2 linked regions of the Drosophila melanogaster genome follow. The gene in region 2 interacts genetically with the main gene of each other region. Each region holds a gene or a part of one and is shown on either strand. Other genes may lie near its edges.

The links.
Region 1: of Ube3a (region 2) and Pu, changing one enhances a phenotype caused by changing the other (phenotypic enhancement), as found in Drosophila melanogaster (one study listed by BioGRID).

The regions. Positions count from the first base shown.
Region 1 is NT_033778.4:21,177,418-21,183,147, reverse strand, and holds Pu (punch), read right to left. Parts: upstream 4,031-5,730; 5' UTR 3,856-4,030; coding exon 3,504-3,855; intron 3,211-3,503; coding exon 3,001-3,210; intron 1,865-3,000; exon of another isoform or gene 1,793-1,864; intron 1,729-1,792; coding exon 1,563-1,728; intron 1,504-1,562; coding exon 1,387-1,503; intron 1,313-1,386; coding exon 1,183-1,312; 3' UTR 540-1,182; downstream 1-539. Other genes in the region: CG4286 (uncharacterized protein), read left to right, coding at 4,611-4,952, 5,015-5,332. UniProt on the Drosophila melanogaster protein: Isoform B is required for eye pigment production, Isoform C may be required for normal embryonic development and segment pattern formation.
Region 2 is NT_037436.4:11,205,887-11,212,210, forward strand, and holds Ube3a (ubiquitin protein ligase E3A), read right to left. Parts: upstream 4,698-6,324; 5' UTR 4,321-4,697; coding exon 4,268-4,320; intron 4,205-4,267; coding exon 3,950-4,204; intron 3,846-3,949; coding exon 3,043-3,845; intron 2,981-3,042; coding exon 2,739-2,980; intron 2,674-2,738; coding exon 2,119-2,673; intron 2,053-2,118; coding exon 1,871-2,052; intron 1,805-1,870; coding exon 1,312-1,804; intron 1,250-1,311; coding exon 911-1,249; 3' UTR 536-910; downstream 1-535. Other genes in the region: CG7600 (uncharacterized protein), read left to right, coding at 5,051-6,324.

The DNA of each region.
Region 1 (5,730 bases), on a different chromosome or scaffold from region 2:
TCTTATGACTTCATTATTAAATTATTGTGAAATTGTTATCCAATAATTTTGGGTCCAAACGAAAGGTACACAGTAGGATTTGCAAGTAATAGATTATATATTTATCAAACTAAGAAGTTGAATAAAAAATATTTATATTTATTTCTTTGAATCATATTTTACACTGTTTTTTTTTTTTTTTTTTGATTCGTTATATACGAAATAAATTTAAAAAAAAATTATGCATCGGCCGGGAATCGAACCCGGGCCGCCCGCGTGGCAGGCGAGCATTCTACCACTGAACCACCGATGCTCTTGCTGCATTTCAAACAAAGCACTATGATGGATACTACACGACTGGAACCAACAACCTGTTGGTGTTGGGGGATTCCTGTCACTTAGTAGCCTCCATTTCAGTAGACTCCGTGGCGCAACGGTAGCGCGTCCGACTCCAGATCGGAAGGTTGCGTGTTCAAATCACGTCGGGGTCATTCGAGAAAGCTCCTGTTGTTTTTGGGATATTTCTTTTTTTATACATTTTATAAAAAATCCTTCATTTTAACGTTATTTAAATACATAATTTATTGTATAATTAATAAGCAGCTTTGACTCACTACAAGCAACGTCATTTACATAATGAGCATATAATTTTAACATTTAAAATCTTCCAATATACTTTGGTCCCTGTCGAGGAACATTATGAATGCAACTCTTTATATAGGTTAACATACATACATAACTATAGATCTGATTAATTTGATGTGAACTGTTTATAAATTGTAAATTCCCTAAACAATTTGCCGTGATTTATTATCAGTTGTTCCCTTATTGCACAATGCATTAATCGTATGTATACGTTGTAAAAATTATCGTTCAAGTGCCATAAAACTGCATATAAAATTGAACATAAAACTACCCAACACCGGTATTCAAATCTCGTCCTCTTCGAATCTCGCTTCTCATTACATTCATCTATCTAAAAAACGTATTTTGCTAACAAAATTTTTCAACAATTTTTACACAAATCAACAAGGAAAATGGCTGCGCAATCATTGCACTAACTAAATGAAATCAATCCTAAAAACATAAACTAATGGACCCTGTGTTTCGTTTCATTTTTGTTTGTTTGTATATAAGCGCCTCCAAAAATATTGTAGGGGTTTAGTTGGTCTCGGATTTCAGTAGCGTCCTCTAGTGCCCACTCTATTTGCTATTGACTAAGTTCAGGAATTCCTCACGGGTCTTGGGATCGTCTCGGAACACGCCCAGCATAGTTGAGGTAACAGTTTTGCTGTTGATCTTCTGCACGCCACGCATCACCATGCACATGTGGCTGTATAGGAGGAAAGCCATTCGTTAAACTATAATATTCTTTAAAATATATATGTATATATATTTAATACTTACACTCCCTCTACGACCACTGCTACTCCAGCGGGTTGCACGGCCTGAGTCACGGCCACTGCGATCTGCTTAGTTAAGCGCTCCTGGACTTGCAGGCGACGCGAAAATATTTCGACAATGCTATGGGATCGCAAATTATATGAAAGATCATCTAATATGCATTACTAAGTTTATCTTACCGTGCCAATTTACTGAGTCCGAGAATCTTGTTGCACGGCAAATAACCGATGGAAACTTTGCCGTAGAAGGGCACCAGATGATGCTCGCACATGGAGAACATTTCAATATCCTTGACCACCACCATTTCGTCATGATCCTCGTCGAAAACGGCGCCATTGAGAACATCTATTAAAAAAAATTTGAAATGGTGTAGTAAAAAAAAAGTACGAAAAAGGAATTCATCATCGCCTGACCCCGACGTGATTTGAACACGCAACCTTCCGATCTGGAGTCGGACGCGCTACCGTTGCGCCACGGAGTCGTTATTGAAAAGTTCGCCCAATGTCCCACAACCACGAAGCTACTCAAGTGGCGTTCCTTCGCTACCCGTGATTTATGGCGCGCGTAATTCGTGTTAGATTTATTTGCTGCATAACTGAATACTGAATGTTAAGTTCAAGCGACTGTGAGTGCTAAAGTGGTTGCTTAGCGAGTGTTTGTGTGTGTGTGTGCGTGTGTGAGGTTGCGGGTCTTGGGGGGAGGTTGACTTGACTTGACTTGACTGGATGGGCTTATGGTTCTTGTGGAGTGTGAGCTTTCGCCACACTCGTTTTAAACGATGTGCTCTTGAGATTCCCATTCCTTGAATAGAAGCCGCCGCCGCACCGCACACCCACCCACTTTACCGCTCTTAATATACAGACCGGAAAGCTTCAGTGCGTTTCCTGACCAACCAGCGAAGAAGCCAAGAAGTAGCCAAGTAGCCAGTGAGCCATCTAACAAACAATCCAACAAGCATCTTGTGTGTGTGGTGGGGAGGGGGGTGGAGTTCCCCCAACACCAGATTGGCAAGTCACGTTGGCTCGGCTTCTTGGGTTCTTTGAATTCGGGTTAAACACAATCCAACCCATTCTATTGCCGATGCCGAAGGCTATTCACTTTCGTTCAACGAATTTAGCTTTCAAATGGCCTGCTGCTGTTGCTGTTGATCTTAAATTTACATGCGATTTTATTTGACAAACCGTAGAACCTGATTTCTCGGGCAACCGGTTAGGTATGCTGGTGTAGCAACCATATAATTCGCAATTCTGTTTTGTTTCTCAAACGACTCACATTGATTACATGACAAGTTCAAAAGCGACTGCAAGTCGAAATGCACGCCAAACATGAGACCAAAAACTTTACTAGTCAAATCTCATATTTCATAGGATATTGAATGGATTTTGGATGCGTCCACTTGATTGGACAAGCCCGAAATTGCCTAATGGCTCCCTATGTTCATGTGCTTTATCTCTCGAGTGGTCAGGTAATTAGGCTAATGCACCATAGCGGACCGAGGAACCCCCGTAAATGGTGATTCACCGACATGAAACTAGTTCCCACTCGCTGGGAAAACCAGGATGAGCAACTTCGATCACTGACCCGGTGCTAATTGCTTGAAATGTGTGGTGTGCTTACCCTCGAGACTCTGGTCGTAGCCCTTGGTGAAGTACAGCATGGCCTTGGCTGCCCGCTCCGGCGTCTTGATCAGTCCCTGGCGATCGGGATTCTCGCCCAGGCCGCCCAAGAGTAGACGATACGAGCGTGCCATGTCCGGAAGGAGGGCCTCTCGCGTCGGCGGCTTGTGGTCCAGCTCCAGGTCGTGGTGGAACGTGCACTTCTCGTGGCCTGTAAATGGAAATACGGATGGAAACATGATGAGAATCGTTATCATGCGAGATAGGAAGGCATTGCCCCCCTTCGTTGGCTGTGTGTGGCTGTCTAAGTACTATTCCCCATTCCGAGGCGCATCTTCTGACCTCTGAACCGAAACACTAACCCACTGATAGGCGTACGGTTTATGCTCAAAAAGAGTTTGTCAAGCACTCCTCCTCCTCCTAGTTCATTGACTAACTAAATCGGTCGCAGCAAACATAGCTCTGGATCCCCTGACCTGGTCCTGGACCACTACCCACCACTACCTGGCGTTGTCGATGTACGCGGTGTCAGTGGTGTTTTCGGTTGTGTACCATCACTATCCGGACTGCTGCCGTTGGTCTTCAGGATGAGGCGGGGTCTCTGGTTGCCGGCCAACGGGACGAGAGCAGGAGCTGGCGCCACCTCCTCGACGGGTGTGCCCGCAATGGCAGTGGCCTCCTCCGCCTGGTTCTGCTGCCTGTCCGCCAGCGAGGAGGTGCCCGAGGTGCTACTTGTTGAGCAGACGCTGTTGTTGCGTCCGCGCGAAAGGATGTGGGCCTGCGGGAAGTTGGTGTCGTCGATGGCATCGTTCAGCTCGCTGGCACTCATCTCGGACAGTTGGCGGGTAAAGCTCATGGCGGTGCGGCTACTCAGGTTTGTTTGCCACTCGAATGGAACTCAATTTGACGGCTAGCACACAATCTTTTTTCCTCGATGATTTTCTCACTGCTATCTGTCTCTTTTTGCGCTGCTGTCTGCCGGACTTTGTCTTCGCGTGTTGGCGCTTCGGGTGGCTCTGCTCTTCTGGTGGCTGCTGTGGCCAGCGGTGGCAATAAGAACCTCTCGAGCGGAGCTTTGAGCGGCGGAAAGCTCCAATCAATAGCCAACAGACCATCCAACGGGCAAGCTCTGCTCCGAGTTTCGCTTGCCGGAGATTAAGTGAGCGGAACTAAACCGAGCTGAGCGCAGGCCCACGGTTTGGCATCCAGTGGCTGTAAAACCGCGCACGAACTTGTTGCTCGGCCAGGAGGCGATAGAACTACAGCACTAGCCACGAAAATAGTGCCATCAAATGTTAAAAACTAGCTTTGGGTGGTAGGTCAATTTACTTGTTAGGAAAGTAAAGCTACCTTATTGGGATAAGTGTAGCGTTTACCCTTAATATATATTATTAAATAGAGTGTACCAAGCTTTTGCCCTCAAACGTGCACTTTATCCTTGGCGCCAACTTAATCTCAACTATTGTTTGCATATCCTTGAAACCCACTCAACTTGGGGCCAGACGTCAAGTTGTAGTTCATTTAAACATTCCACTCGAAACGAGCTACTCCCCCAAATTCGAACCCCCTTCCAACCATCCGCCCCTCCATTCATCTTGGAGAACCAAAGTCATGGCGCACCGCCTCCAGCTCCGTAGCGATGACTTCGACGTTATCGGCGCCGTGCCCCGCAATCTGTCCGTGATCAAGAACTTCCTGAAGCGGGACTGTGCCATCAAGAAACTGATCGACATCGAGGAAGAGTTCCTGCAGGAATGCGTATTGCGCGGCCAGGATCCCATGAATCCGAAGGGTAAACGTGACAGTGACAGTGGGCCACATGGTAGTGGTTTGGGATCCAATGTGCCCGAACCCAAGCCGGATCCATGTGCTACCAAGACACCGGAGAACACATTGGCCTCCGACTACTGTGATCCCTGTCGCCGACTCAAGACCTCCGTGGTTCTCGAAGAGGTGAGTGATCTGTACATTCAATGTGCTTCAGTGATTTAGATGTTACTCCACTCATCTATCAGCTAACCAAGCCGGCCATCACAAATCCGGCTTTCAACAAATCCCTGCCGCCGTACTTCGATGAAGAGAGCGTGATGGGCAACTCGTTGCCCGTGAAGTTCCGTTTCCGGCGCAAGTTCAACAAGTGCGACCAGGAGAAGGCCGGCAACCTGATGTGCACCAACACGCCGAGCACCAATGTGGTCGTGTTGACCAACTGTTGCGACGTGATGGTCTGGCCCAGTCAACGGGTGGCCCAGATGAACCGGGTGCCGGTGACCATGCTGTCGGGCGAAGCCGATCTCACGGAGTACATGCTGGAGGAGGAGACCATTATGTGAGGGAATGGTTGGATGGGTGCAGCTTTTTGGCACATAACGCCGATCAATAAAGCATTAACCCCACTTAGAAGTGTCCTCATTTTGTGCGGGAAACCCTGCATCCCACATGTGGGGCTTCAATTGAAAGTAGCTAGTCTCTCCAGCTGGCCAAATTTGATTATTCTCTGCATATATTCGGAATCTTATTTGCATGCAAAGTATTCGTGGTTTATCGCGAGCACTTTTCTTGTTTATGGCATGGAGTTGAAGGTTATTCTTTATATATGTATATACATATATATGTCCTGAGAAATAGATTTTGGTGGGTTTGTAAAAAAGTACAAACCACAAGGAATGTAAAGCACATTAAAACCTTCCACCGCTGCTTAGGGTCGAATAAATCAGTTGGGAATAGCACA
Region 2 (6,324 bases):
TTGTTATAGTGAACAGTACTTTATACTAGTTGCATTTTTTTGTGCTAAATGCTAAGGAAATCAAAACACCTTCCGCTCCACAAAATATCGGGAGTCCCACCCGCAAGAAACTCAGAAACGCGAATAACAAATGTGTGGCTGCGGCTAAGCCGTTAGAAAATATCGCCTGAAAAAAAGGGCCTAAAAAATCCACTAGTCCCAAGTCAGCTGTTGTGAAATAAGGCTTTCACACCTCTTTTTTTTTTAAATGTGTCTAGACTAAATAAAAAATAAAGTTAACAAGTTATTTTTTAAGTTAAAAAATAAAAAGTACTTCACACCGAAATTTAAATGTCAGCTAGTGTGAAATATTGCTTACAAAATGTTTTGTATTTGATGTTTCTATACTAAATTAAATATGTAAATATAATTTAAATGAATCTTTTTCCACAATTTTAATTTGTTAGTAATCTTAGTTTAAATTAAAAATATCTAATATTAAAAAATATTCCATACTTGCGAAAACCAATCTAAATGGAAAATACATCTGTTTCTTCGCCGAACTACTTTAAATTTATTTAGGAAAATATTCAGCGCGTACTGTTTTTAAATGTGGGTGTTGTTCCTAGGGTAAGTTCACATAATGTAGTATGTGGCGTGTTTATGTGTGTGTTTATGTACAATTAACTGGGCTAAAGAAGGGAAACAAAATCGCGTGTCCGTTCGGTCTGCTCGCTTCGCCGTCGCACCATATAAATTGAGCACATATATTGGGTATGTATATATTGTCTCATTGAACAGGTCGTATCAAAAATAAATGGCAGAACCCAAAACGAACTCAAACCGATCAAAGTCTTCGAAATCTTCTTCCCAGAGAGGTGGTGGTATCAGTTCCAGATGACAGACTTGCACTTGCAGTTTGGACCATAGTCTACAGCATGCCGAAGCCCTTCGAGTAGTTGATGGCCTTCATCAGGCGCTCCTCCAGCTTCTCGCGGCTGCTGTACTCGGGCAGGAGGAGAACGTTGAAGCAGGTGTGCGAGGTAGGCAACCGATCGCTATCCGGACCGTGACGCGTGATTAGCAGACGCAGGCATTTCAGGCCGCCAACCGGAACACGCGCCGATCCCGTCGTGAATTCGAGCAGCTTGTGCTTGTCCTCGCTGGGCATCGCATGCACTATGCTCCAGAAGTCCTGGATGTACTGGCTCTTCTCCGTGTAGCCGCCCTCGTACACAGTGGAGTTTTCCAGTTCCACAAAGTCGAATTCCTGCCGAAGGTTTCAGAGTTCAGCAACCGAATGAATTTCGTAATTTGAATTTAGCTACTCACACGACTGCCGCAGACCAGCATTTCAATCTCCTCTGGACGGAAGAGCAGCTTCAGTGGCGATTCGTCCGTAACCATTTCGAAGCCCTTGCGGAAAGCATTGAACTGCTGTTCGATATTCGTGTTAAGCAGGAAATCACTGTACAGGTTGACAAACAGTTCCTTGTTGTGCTGCCCCACCAGTACATCCTGGCCGTTCGGCACCAGTTCGTGTTGTACCACATCACCGAAAACATCGCTATAGCTAATCTTGAAGGTCTGTTCGAATACCTCCTCCATATCCTGGCCCTGATAGTCCAGCATGGACTTCAGACTCTTGTACAGCGCCGGACTCCAGTCGCTGAGGTCTGCGAACGTGCCGCAATAGCCTATCAACTTGCGATAGACCACCATGGGGAAGTTTACGGCCAGGGTGACGTTGTTATAGATCGCCAGGCCAATAATTATACCAATCAGAGTGAATTGCGCTCCGTTCTCAAATGGTGTGGCATTGAACCTGCATATGTATATATATATATTTATATAGTTCAACTGAACAGATTTATCCCAATTGAATACCCACCACATATTGTTGGTCTCCTCTTGCTGTATAAACATTCCAAAAGCCGGGTTAAATATCTCCTCCACGATTAGCTGGAAGAACTCTTTGGATACGCCGCCTTCATCGATCCCCTGCTCGCCGACAAACTCCACCACCAACTGCTTCTTGAGATCCTTTGGATTGCTCATGGCCACCATTTCCAGCTGGGGAATTAAACGTGTATTAATTACGCCTGTTAACTAGGACACTAAAGAACCATTTGTACACACCCCAATAAGTGCGTCGTTGATGAGCTGGTCCCTTCGCACCGTCAGCTTAAGATCCGGCCGAGGATTATCTTCCTGTCCTACCTGGCCAATATTGTTGAGGATGGAGTGAAGGGAGGAGTAGCGCTCGCTATACATCCTCATTCGACTGTCATAGTACAAGGCATCCACTTTTGTTGACGGCGTGAGGATAAAGGCGTACAGCATGAACGAAAAATAGTTCGCGTGGCCGGAACCAATCTCGCTCTCCATGGCTAACGTCTTGTAGGACAGGTAGTCGTGGTGCATCTGAATGTTTTCACTGAGTGCCTCGTTGTAGAACTCCTCAAGTGGTATCAGTGGTTTCCGGCAATCGATTGCCGACACCTGCAGCTCCTTTTCAAACTGATCCTCGGCGAATTTGGGCATGTGCGGCTCCAACAAAGAGTTGTAGACGAATAGGTCGTCCTCCACTGCTGCGCTGCCAGATGCGGTCGCCGCTTCCGTTCGATCCTCCAGCGGCACCCGACACGACGGTCGCTCCAGCTCGCTAGCCAGAATGTTCGCGTAGAAGACAATCTATCACAGAAGAAGTTAACCCAACTGCATTACAAGCCATATTGCATAATAAACCTAACAAATACCTTTAAAACTTTGGTGACACTGATTATGGATTCGTTCTCGCGCATGGATTCCTCGTCCAAAAGCACCTGTAGAGTAATTTGCTGCTGGCAGGCTGCGATCAACGAATGCAGCTGATCTGAACAATGAGCAGCCCAGATCCTGGCCAGGCGCGCCTGTGCCGGCACTGGCATGGCCGACGCCGCTTGGCACAATTTTGGCAGCACCCTGTCCAGATAGTCCATGTCCACCACACTGTTATTGGCTAAAGGGTTATGAGAAAAGCTGTAACTTGAAACATTCCAGGCATACAATTGAAAAACTCACTATTGGTGGCTAGATCAAAGCAGATGACCAGACAGTGAATGACCCTCTCCCAATCCGTACGCATGTAAATCACCCAGTCAGACAGCTGAATAACGCTGCTGGTAAGCTTCTCCGTTATAGCTCGTATTTGACAGCCAAAAAGGAGACGCTGCACTCGTCGCAAACCGGGCAGATCCACCAGTGTGTCGCTGCTTTGGGATGAACACACATCATCGTCCTCTTCTTCGGGCTCCGCCTCTGATTCGACTGATTCTGCAGTAGCAGTAGCATTAGCCGCCGATTCTGATTGTTCGTCCACCTGTTGTGTACTGTCTTCGTCTTTATCGTGTTCCCCTTCCAAAGTTCGTAGCTGCTCCTTGTTTAAAGCCCCCGGTGAATTGGCCAGCAGCTCCTGGAGACTACTAGAAGCCGCTGGTTCTGCGCTGCGAATGAAGCTCTTGCCCAGTCTATCTACGCTGGAGAACACAACGCCGATTGCGTGGCAAATCCTGTCGTAACTGTCAGCCGCCCTACATTGCTCATAGAGCGCTATCAGACTGTTGGCATCCAAGCTGTGGACTGGCGCCAGGGTGGGTGTACACGGTTCCGAGTCGCCGGAGGAGTGTTCAGCGCCGGCGATATCCAGTTGCGGCACACTCTGGGTAAGATATGGACTGGATACGGGCACTACAACGGCAGCTGGCGTTGACTGCGATTGTCTGCTGGTTGTCGTGGTGGTACTGGCTGAGGTAATTGTGCTTGTCGAGCTGCCGCTGCTACTACTGCTACTGTCGTTCGGCGAAAGCATGTCCACGTCCTGGGGGCTAAAATGGGAAAAAATTTAATTGAAAGATAATTACCTATAGAAAATCTTATCGGTGCTCTGGAAACTTTGCTACCCAGTTCCATTTGTTAAGAGAATTCTCACCTGTTGGCCTCCGATGTGAACGCCTCGCAGAGCTGTGCATCCTGTGAAAAGAGCTGCAGTGCTCTGGCGGCCACCTCGTTGGGCGTCATGGGCGCCACCTTGCCGCTGGAGGCGCAATTGGCATTGCTGCAGTTGGCGTTCCCACAGCCGGATTGTAGTTGGTGGAAGTATCGCTTGATTAGGCTGCGCACCGCCGAACGCTTCATTTCGGGCGTGGCTCGCCCGCCCACCGCTCCAGCTGCAGATCCTGATGCACTGATGGGGGGCAAAGAAAATCAGATTTAATATGCCACAACGTAAGTAGCTGAAGTTATTCACCTGGAAACACCTGGCAGATGCTGATCATCCTCGCCACCCCCGCCACCGTTCATCTTCGCTGAAATCTGCGCACTTTACGCCCCCACCGCCGCCGCCCCTTTCTTTGTTTGTCGAAAGTGATTTTGCTCCACTCACAAAACGAAATGGGAGCAAAAAAAAATCGATGTTGATGTCCCTTTTTTGTGTCGCGGCTACCTAAAATTCTTATGCTGAAGCTACTCAGCCGCTGCCGTTGCCTCTGTTGCCCGCTCGTCGAGCGCTGAACGCCGACTTCCTTGCAATCTGATAGCAATCCTTTAAAGCTCGATAATTCGTCAACGTTTTGACAATTTTGACTGTAATAGCGTAAGTGTTTATGAATGAAGCAGGCAGCAACGAATATTGAAAATCATTCTAAACGATGTGCTATCGATGAACTAGTGATATCGACAGCACACCGATAGGCACATTCTTTATCGGACAGTATTGTTAGTCACTGCCGATAGACGTCCGTTGGATGTTTGCACTTTTAAACGTGATTGTGAAACTCCAAGGGATATTATGACTAATACTAATAATAATCGAACTATCGAAAAACTGGTTGCTCGCCAGTGCTGCAAAACACCGGCGGTCTTATCAGCTGTCGACGTATGAAACCAATAACACCGTGTCCGTATTATCGGATCTATCGTTCCTCGAAAAAAAAAGAAAAATAATACGCAGGAAGAAAATACTGGATTCCGTAGCCGGAGCGAATGCAATGAGTTAGTCCGACCAGCCGGAGAAACCAATCCGAGTCGCAAGATGACGGAGCAAGAGGATTTGGCCACCAGCGGAGGTGGCAATGCGACCACTGGCTCTGGAACCAATTGCCAAAACCAACTGCAGCAATGTGTGCGTGGGAATGTCACCTGGGAACTGCTGCCCGTGCACCTGCGATCGGTTCTGCACAACAATCAGCGTGACTACGAGAAGTTCGTCTTTAACTATAGTCTAAAGAATCAGCTGAGGTTCCGGGGCAACCTGGCCGCCAAGGTGTTTCGCCGGGAGCAACGCTACTACGAGCTATTGATACAGAAGAGCATCAATGGATTGGGCGCATTTCCCTACCACCTGGCCGATATCGTCACCAAGGGCTTGAGGGTGACGCCCTTCAACTACTATCTGGATGTTTTGGGTCAGCTTTTGCAAAGCGACAAAAGCTACGATACTTTGCCCAACTTTACAGCAGCCGACTGTCTGCGTGTCTTGGGCATTGGCCGCAACGAGTACCTGGCCCTTATTAGCGATATGAAAACTCACACACCGCGCTCCTTGATCTTCGGGTCGCGGCCCAATCCGCTGGACTTCCTGCCACGCTTTCCGGTGCGCATACACATCGAGCCCTGGTGGCGACTGGACATTGGCTATGTCCTGGAAGCGGATATTCGCTATCTGTCGCCCGCTGAAAGAGGCCTGCTCGATGACTTGATTGACTTTGGAGCCCAGCCGGCTGGGAAATGCGATCACGACGTGGTGCACAGCCTGTACCGGAAGGGTTTGATCTACTTAGATGTGCCCATTAGCGGGGAGGACAGGATATCCATACCGCCGCTGCGCAACTTTGTGATGAATCGTGTGAGCGGGGACTACTTTGAGAATCTGCTGTACAAGATCTTCGTTAGCGCGGATGAGCACATGACCATTGCCGAGTTGGCACAGATGCTGCAACTGGAACTGGATAGCGTTAAGCAGGCCATATCGTTTATCTGCCGTCTGGGTTTCGCACATCGCAAAGAAGATCTGGTCAATCAGACGAATCATTCCAGCTGGGAGGGATACAACCAGCAGCAAACGCCAGATACGCCGCAGATCACACCGCTGAACTACAATTTGCATACCAGTAGCAGCTTCGAATTCGACCAAAGTCCCAAATCGCCAAAGACACCCAAGGAAAGGGAGAAGGACAAGGATAAGGACAGCAGTTCCATAGGCTACCTCTCCTCGGATGGCAACACGAGTGACTTCAGCTTTGCCAACCTGAATACGACACCCCAGGAGAGAGTGAACAACAGCGATGAGCAGGAACTGAGTTCCGA